2 linked regions of the Rattus norvegicus genome follow. The protein of the gene in region 1 interacts with the protein of each later gene in a biochemical or structural test. Links are inferred from orthologs where the notes say so. Each region holds a gene or a part of one and is shown on either strand. Other genes may lie near its edges.

Region 1 (4,435 bases):
AAACGCAGTAGTCATGTTCCTATTTTTTTTAAGAGATTCAAGCTGACATCAGCTAGACTGAAATACTAATACTGGGGGTTTCCTGGAATTGAGACAATTTAACCAAAAATAATAAAAGGAAAAGGATGAAGATTAAACAAGTATGGATCCTAAATAGTTGCAAACTCCGGGTAACATGCAAATGGATACATTCTTTATAAGAATGAAAATAAAACACTGCCCAAAGCAACCTGTGTTGGTGATAAAACTCAGGACTTTGACATCATAATTTTTACTTTTTATTTCACTTGAAAAACCAGATGGGACAAAAGGGCCCATGTGTTTGCAAGGCAAGTTTCATCATGAGCGAGAGAGTACAATCCCTGCACGTGCAAGGCTGAGGTAGAAGGATAGAGGGTTCCAGGCCAACCCGGGCTTCCAGTGAGGCCTCAAACCAAACAAAGAGTGGAGGGAGTGCTGCTCCCTCCACGTTCACATCTCCACCATGCCAGTGACACCACACTAACACAGCTGCTTCCGGTCTTCTTTTCTTTTTAAGTATCCGGCTCAATTCATTCCTAGGTGTTATCTACTTGGCTTTTGGGTTTAAGATTCCAGTAGTCCAATTAAGATGGTTAGGGGTGAGACACAGCAGACAAAGGGAGGATAACTGAGTGTGGGTGAAATACTAGTGAGTTGAAGCACAAACTCCTGCTGGTGATACCCCTTTGCTAGGCGCTGGCCCATGCCCAGATATTCACTACTGGAAGGCTGGACCATGCATGGTTCCTGCTTGCTGAATGCTTACTAGAAGCAAGGCGACATATGAACACTCTAGAAAATATGAACAGGAAAACAATTCCTACCCTTAGAAAGGCTACTGATAGGGAGAATAAGAATAAGCAGAGACAGTTACAGAGAGTACTGCTCAGGGGACTCCATTTGGAACACAAATTGGAAACTAACAACATATGAAGCTTCAAGACAGATCTCATGAGGAGGAGCACGACAGCACGTGTGTCAGACAGGCAGCAGTGAGCCCAGGAAGGGTTTTCAAACACAGGACTCAAGGAGAGACAGCAAGGCTGAAGAGCTCAGCTTCTTGGATTGTAGGCACCACTCCTCTTCTACTCTGGGGCCAGCATTATCAAACCCCAAACATTGTATCTGTGTCTTTAAAATGTACCACCACCACTTTCCTGGTTGACAGTTCAATATTTAGAGGGATAATTAAAAAGATGGCACACGGGGTTGGGGATTTGGCTCAGTGGTAGAGTGCTTGCCTAGCAAGCGCAAGGCCCTGGGTTCGGTCCCCAGCTCCGGAAAAAAAAAAAAAGATGGCACACGAAACAATAGCCCTGAAAAATCAGAGCTGTCCGGTTTTTCCTCTCCTAAATAAAGTTTGTAACACTATCACTACCATGGCCCAATACTTTAAATAGAAACAATATGACTAAAGCTTGTTAAAACAAAACTGTTCCTGGCTGGAGAGATGCTCTGAGGTTTAGATCACTTACTGCACTTTCAGAAGACCCAACTTGGGTTCCCAGCACGCATATGGTGGCTCATAACTATCTTAAATGTCAGTTCTAGGAAATCTAATGCCCTGTTCTGGCCTCCATGGGCTCTAGGCACCCACAAGGTACACGTACAAACATGCAGCCAAAACGCTTATATGCATAAAACAAAATAAATAATTAAAAAAGAAACCTTAAGTAAACTGTATTTGGCTTAAGAATGTGAAGTTTTCCTTCTGTTGGAAAAAAACAAAAAATTTACTAGTGCTTTTTGTGAATGAACACAATTATGCAGTACTCAACCAACTCAACTATTAACAACTCAAAAATCTGGCCAAGCAAAACTCCACTGAAAACCAGAACCATACGGCATTAAGTAAAGTAGCTGTCAGCATACATGGATCCAGATGACCCTGGTGTAGCTAACTGATGGGACTAGAGACTATGACCATCTTGTCTGATCAATAATAAATCCCAGGAATCACAAAGGAAGGTTTTAGCACGTTTCCATCCAATTCCAACTCCAACGATTGTTCAGTCATCTACTTGAGCCTCAGTTTCTGTGTTTATATAAATGAGGTCAATGGTACCCACGTGTTCCATAAGGTAGTGTTTGAACTAAACGCACAACCTTATGTGGCACAGGAAGTGACACTTCAGATGCTTAATAAATAACACGTTTTATTAGTCACGGACAACGTTATTGTCTGCTTTATCTGTAGGTGTTGAGGTGTCTTATGATGTCAAACCCCACTGATGCTCTACACATTTCTCAGAAAAATCACGTTATAGCACGATTTTCGAGACTTCACAGACACAAAACCCTGATGACAGCCCGAAGTCGAAAGAGCCCTAGGTCTCTAGACGCTAGGTTCGCCAATGCCTCTCTGCCCCTCCGCCCCTCCAAGGGCCCCGACTTCAGCGCGCAGCCCCGCCCCGCGAACCCCAACGCGCCGGGTGAAGGGGCGGTCCCCACCGCGCGTACTTAGCGTTCAGGGATGGGGTTGGGGGGAGGCCAGGCCAAGCCCCAGCCTCCGCCCGCCGGCCTCCCCCAACCTCAGCCTCCCCTGGACGACGCCTGCCCTCTTGCCACCCGCCACCGCGCCGCCCGGGGCCGCACCTTGAGGTGGGTGCGCAGGCCGCCAGCGCCCCCAGACTGGTCGGTGATCTCGTACGCGCCCGTAACCAGCAAGTCTTTGTGGATCTCCTCGCGGAGACACTTCCGAGAGTTCACGGGTAGATGGAAGGAGATGCCGAGGACCGAGCTGGGGCCGAGAAGGAACAGAAAGAGCAAGGCGGATAGGAGAGGGCCAGGCCAGGATAGTGGGCCAGACAAACCAGACATGGTGCCGGAGCCTCGTTCACCACCCGGGGCCTCTAGCGCGCCGGAACCGGGGAAACCCACGTGACTCGCCTCTAACCTGGCGAGGCCGTCCGCGCCATTTTGGAGATTGGCTAACAGAAAAGGAATGTAAAATAAGTTTTAAAAAGAAGAACACATTTGATAGTATGTCATAACCACGGGTTTCAGGGGCTATAGAGGAGTTCCCAGGAGTTTTTCGTACAAGTTTTATTTTTTGTTGTGGTAAAAGACTTAGGAGCAAACCATTATAAGTATGGGCAGCCCCGGAAGTAATTGTTTTAAGCCCCCGGAAGTGGTTCATGCGAGTTTTTAAAATCGGTGACACCATAGCAACCAGGCCCCAATAAGAAACAGCCACAAGGCCTTTCTCTGAGCCCGCCCACCGGCTGCTTAGACTTCGGGTCAAGGCACAAAATGAATTTTGGTGTCCTGACGCTTACTCTGATAGATGTTGGGACAATGAAGCACTGAAAAGGAAAAACACAAAAGAAAATTTTAATTTGGCTTTTAGTGAGTGTGGGCCACTAACTCAGAGAAGATTGTGTAGAGGTCAACAGGTGAATGTGAATTGGCAGGTATCCAGTTAATGCCTCTGAACCGAGTGTTTGGCCTGATGCAAGTTTGGTGTTCACAATGTATTTATTTGTTTGTTTGTTTCTTTAACATCAATAGTCTTCTGAGATAAGCTGCACTCCAACCAACATTTAAATTTTTGTTTTGGTCCAGTCAGAGATGAGCATAAAATATTATTTTACCAGATGAGCATTGTCAAGGGGAGGAAACAGCATGTTTCCAAAGCATGTTCTGTACCTCCAATAAGTTTTTTGTTGTTGTTGTTGGTTTGGTTTGATTTCTCGAGACAGGGTTTCTTTGTGTAGCCCTCACTCTCCTAGAACTCTATAGACCAGGCTGGCCTCGAACTCACATAGATCCACCTGCCTCTGCCTTCTCTGCTGGGTTTAAAGACATGCACCACTGCCCTGCTCTTTTGTAGTAAACTGATTTATATAGGACTCGTCCATTCACTCTTGATTCCCTATAGAGACACTACACTCAGTGTGTCTAGTGTATTTAATGAAGTACATCCTGTGTGTTCAACAAACAGCACCAAGCAATGGGGATACACACCTTTAATCCCACCAGGGCTACACAGAGAAACCCTGTCTTGAAAATCCAAAAAGTAAACAAACACACAGGCAAAATTCATATCCATAAAATAAATAAATCAATAGACAACAATCTTATGCTAAATCAGGGATAAATAATCAAACTAGTCCTCAATAAAATGATTACTATATAGTATTTGCCGATGTAAAAGATACTTAGTGCCTGGCATAGTGGCACACACCTTTAATCCCAGCACTTGGGAAGCAGAGACACTCGTATCTCCTTGAATGGAAGCCAGCCTAGTCTACATGTTGGATTCCAGGACAGCCAGAGCTACATACATAGTGAGGCTGTGTCTCAGAACCAGAACAAAAGTTTAACATCTTTATGCTCCAACCATAACAAGTGTTACGGCACTGAAAATATACCAATATACACTCAATATAACATACCTGTAATCCCAGGGTTT
Region 2 (3,646 bases), on another chromosome or scaffold:
CCTTCTGCTTCTGCTCTAGAACGTTCAGATAGAAGGTGGCTCTGTCTCTCACTTCATTGTCGTCGTCCATCACACACCTGCAGCCGGGACACAAGGTACTCCTGACTGAGCCGAGCCAGGGTGTCAGAGGGACCGTGCAGGACTGCATGGGGATGGCAGGGCAATGCAGAGCTCTTAAAGCTCAGTGCAAGGGTGATGGGTCTTGAATGACAGTATAAAACACAAGGGCTGACGCAGTTCAGCGGTAGACAGCTCCCTGGTAAAGATCTCACTCAGCACCATAAGGCAAACCAAACCACAAAATACAGAGGGACCCTTGAGCTCAGAGGAGATAACTTCTGGACTCAGCAGGTACTACGCACCACACAGTACACAAATACACATGCAGGCACCACACCCACACAAATAAGATACACGTAATTAAATCTTTGTTGGATGTGGTGGCTCACACCTTTGATTCCAGCATTTGGGAGTCAGAGGTAGGTGGAACTCTGTGAGTCTGAGGCCATCATGGTCTACATAGCAAGTTCCAGAAGGCCAGGGCGATATAGAGAAATCCTGCCTCAATGAATACATTTGAATAAAAGCTGGACTGGACCCAGGGGAGCGCTGCTACACACTGGGGCGTCTGGGCTGACACTCACCTCTTCAGCAACACCAAGATGCTGGGCAGCATCTCTTCGTTCTGGGCTCCAAACTTGGCCAGAGCACTCACTGCACCTAGTTCCAAGGTAAAGATGCCTCACCCGCCGCCCTCGGCCGCCCGCCAGAGTGCTGAGGGCGCCCACCAGTGCTCGGGGTGGGAACCATGCAGAAGTGGGTGGCACCGCTAATACAATCACAGAGCAGATTCTGTGCAACTCTAGTGGATCTTGGTGCTACCCGGGCCTCACGTTCCTCTTCCAGTCACTGGAGAAAGGGGTAACACACTAGCGGCTCCTGTTCTAAGGCACTAGGGGCTACTTTCTAATGATTAAGGCTAAAAAACGTGATCAACGCTGTCAGCTACTTTCTTTTTTTTTTTGGTTCTTTTTTTCGGAGCTGGGGACCGAACCCAGGGCCTTGTGCTTCCTAGGCAAGCGCTCTACCACTGAGCTAAATCCCCAACCCCTGTCAGCTACTTCTGAGCAGCTCCATTTGTAGCTAAGCCTGAGAGTAAAACATGGGAGAGTCAACCATCACTTACTGATTAACTGCCAAAAGGAAAAAAAATTGCCTAGAAGGGGCATAGAAGGAAAAAGGAAAAATAGGATGAAATTAAAAACAAGATGGTAGACTGATAGATCACGGACTTATAAAAAAAGATTAACTTTGTGGTGTGTGTTCTCTCTCCAGTTTTTTAAAAAAGGGCCAGGAACAATGGTACTTAGGATCCCAGTACATAGAAGGCTGAAGTAGTAGGAGTTCAAGTGTGAGTCAGCTTGGCTATAGAAAGAACGAGACCCTATCTCATAAATCATAAAACAAAAAACAACTCTATGTACAAATATACAGTGAAATTTTTAAAAAGTAAATTGTAGAAAATCTTTTATCCAGTTGGCATCTAAACTCCTGACAATGTAAAGAACAGCTCATGAGGCCATGTCCCCAGGATGCTCGTCCTCCTGGGAGCTTCAGTCCCTTCACTGGCAAATTCACTGCAAAAAGAAACTAAGAGGCCAGGATCACCCCAGCTCGAACCTACCTGCCCGAACCTCTTCGTGCTCCAAGACCACACGGTTGTAGATAAAGCGAATGTACTTGGAGGGGTTGTTGGTCTTGGGCCCCTCCTGGCCCAACAGGTGCAGGATGCGGGTGGCCAGCACAGTGAACTCGCAGTCCTCGATGAACTCGCACAGGTGTGACAACCCTGTCTCCTTGCTCTCTGAGTTCTCCTCAATGATGCTGATGATGCAGTCCACGATGGCACGCTTGTACTCAAAGCCACCCTGGAGAGAAAGGTCTAGCTGAGCAGAGCTCATGGTCTCTGGAGACCAGCTGAGTTCCTGAATCTAGCCAGGCCCAGAGACAATGCTCCACGGACAGTCTGGAAGCAGGAGCCGAGGGTTCTGTCTCTTTGTAGGATAAAACCAACAGGCGTGGCCCGGCAGCTCACTGGGGCCTCCTAATGCTAAAAGGAGAAAGATTAATGCAAACATTTTAGATCCCATTTCTTCTGCCTAGTGCAAGGTACTTTACATAGTGAACTGTCATGTGCCTTGCAAGGTGGCTCTGGGGGAAGGGCTGCTCCTTAACCCTGGCCTCAGACCCAAGCATGTTTTATCTTCTAAGACCCCTTGTCCAGGGATGCTTGTCATTTGCCCTTGATAAGAGCAACAGCAATACAGTCCAAGAGTGCAAACGGCGCCTTTGGGGCCCGAAGAGTAAATCACATAAGTAATAACACTGTATCCCTGAAGACAGCTAAGCAAATCACTCCCAGGAACCTTCCCAAAGCTTATCTCACAGTGTAAAAGCACACGTGGTGGGAATGGCCAATGGAAGTCTCACCTAGCAGTCTGTCAACAAGGGTCTCCTTCTCCCCCAGGCTTCCCGCTCACTCCTGTGGGATGCTGTGTGTGCTCTTAGGTTCTACTGCTGTCTTCCATCACTCCTGTTTGCTATGTACCTAACAGACTCACTCACTCAAAACAGAGAGTCCGGTTATGTGAGATCTTTCTCCACACAGACACCGAGACATGAAAAACTAGGATGAGTGGCACGCAAGGCTGGGAAAACAATATGGTGGTTCCTCACAACACCAAGGACAGAATTATCTGATCCAGTAACTCCATTTCTGGGTTTCAGCAACAGAACAGATTGCAGAAGCACCCGTCACAAGACTGACAGCACCTTGGTCCCCAAATGTAGTCTGTTCTTTAAAGGAATATTTATTCAACATTGAAAAAGCAGAAAATTCTGATACAAGCTATGATACAGAGGAAACCTGAGGATATAAGCAAAATAGAGGAGACAGAAAAAGAAGAACACCTCGTGATTCTCCTCAACTGAGGTAACTGCAGCAGTCAGATCATAAACATAGAGTAGAACTGTGGGCGAGAGGCTGGAGAGGCAGATGGGGAGACAGTGTGTAACAGGTACAGAGTCTTTGCTAAAAACTAAAAGGTTGGGGAGGAGAGGCTTGGTGGTTAAAAGCTCTTGTTCTAAAGAGGACTCTGGTTTGATTCCCAACACCCACAGGCTGACTCACAACTATCCATAACTCCAGCTCCATGGGATCTCACACCCTCTGACCTCTGAGGGCACTAAGTATGCAAATGGTGCACATACACGCAGCCAAAACATTCACACATAAAATATAATAAACAAATCCAAATGAAAAACATTTAAGGGGGCTGGAGAGACAAGTTAGTGGTTAAGAGCACCAGCCATTCTTCCAGAGGACTGCAGTTCAGTCTCCAGCACCTCCATCTGGCAACTCACAGATGCCAGTGACTCTAGCTCCAGTGGACCTAACACCCACTCTACCCTGCACAGACACTGCACACACACACACACACACACACACACACACACACACGCGCGCGCACACATCAAAACACAAAATAAAAATTTTTTAAAAACTTAAAAAGTGAGGGCTGGAGAGATGGCTCAAGAGTTAAACATACAGACTGCTCTTCCAAAGGTCCTGAGTTCAATTCCCAGC

The links. The genes of interacting proteins can lie anywhere in the genome.
Region 2: the proteins of Tmed10 (region 1) and Copg1 form a complex in vitro, tested with the Homo sapiens proteins (2 studies listed by BioGRID). The link is inferred for Rattus norvegicus from reciprocal best matches to the Homo sapiens genes TMED10 and COPG1.

Annotation. Positions count from the first base shown.
Region 1 is NC_086024.1:110,754,903-110,759,337, forward strand, and holds the start of Tmed10 (transmembrane emp24 domain-containing protein 10 precursor), read right to left. Parts: upstream 2,842-4,435; coding exon 2,617-2,841; intron 1-2,616. UniProt on the Homo sapiens protein: Cargo receptor involved in protein vesicular trafficking and quality control in the endoplasmic reticulum (ER) and Golgi.
Region 2 is NC_086022.1:121,937,445-121,941,090, reverse strand, and holds part of Copg1 (coatomer subunit gamma-1), read right to left. Parts: intron 1,929-3,646; coding exon 1,685-1,928; intron 721-1,684; coding exon 645-720; intron 78-644; coding exon 1-77. UniProt on the Homo sapiens protein: The coatomer is a cytosolic protein complex that binds to dilysine motifs and reversibly associates with Golgi non-clathrin-coated vesicles, which further mediate biosynthetic protein transport from the ER, via the Golgi up to the trans Golgi network.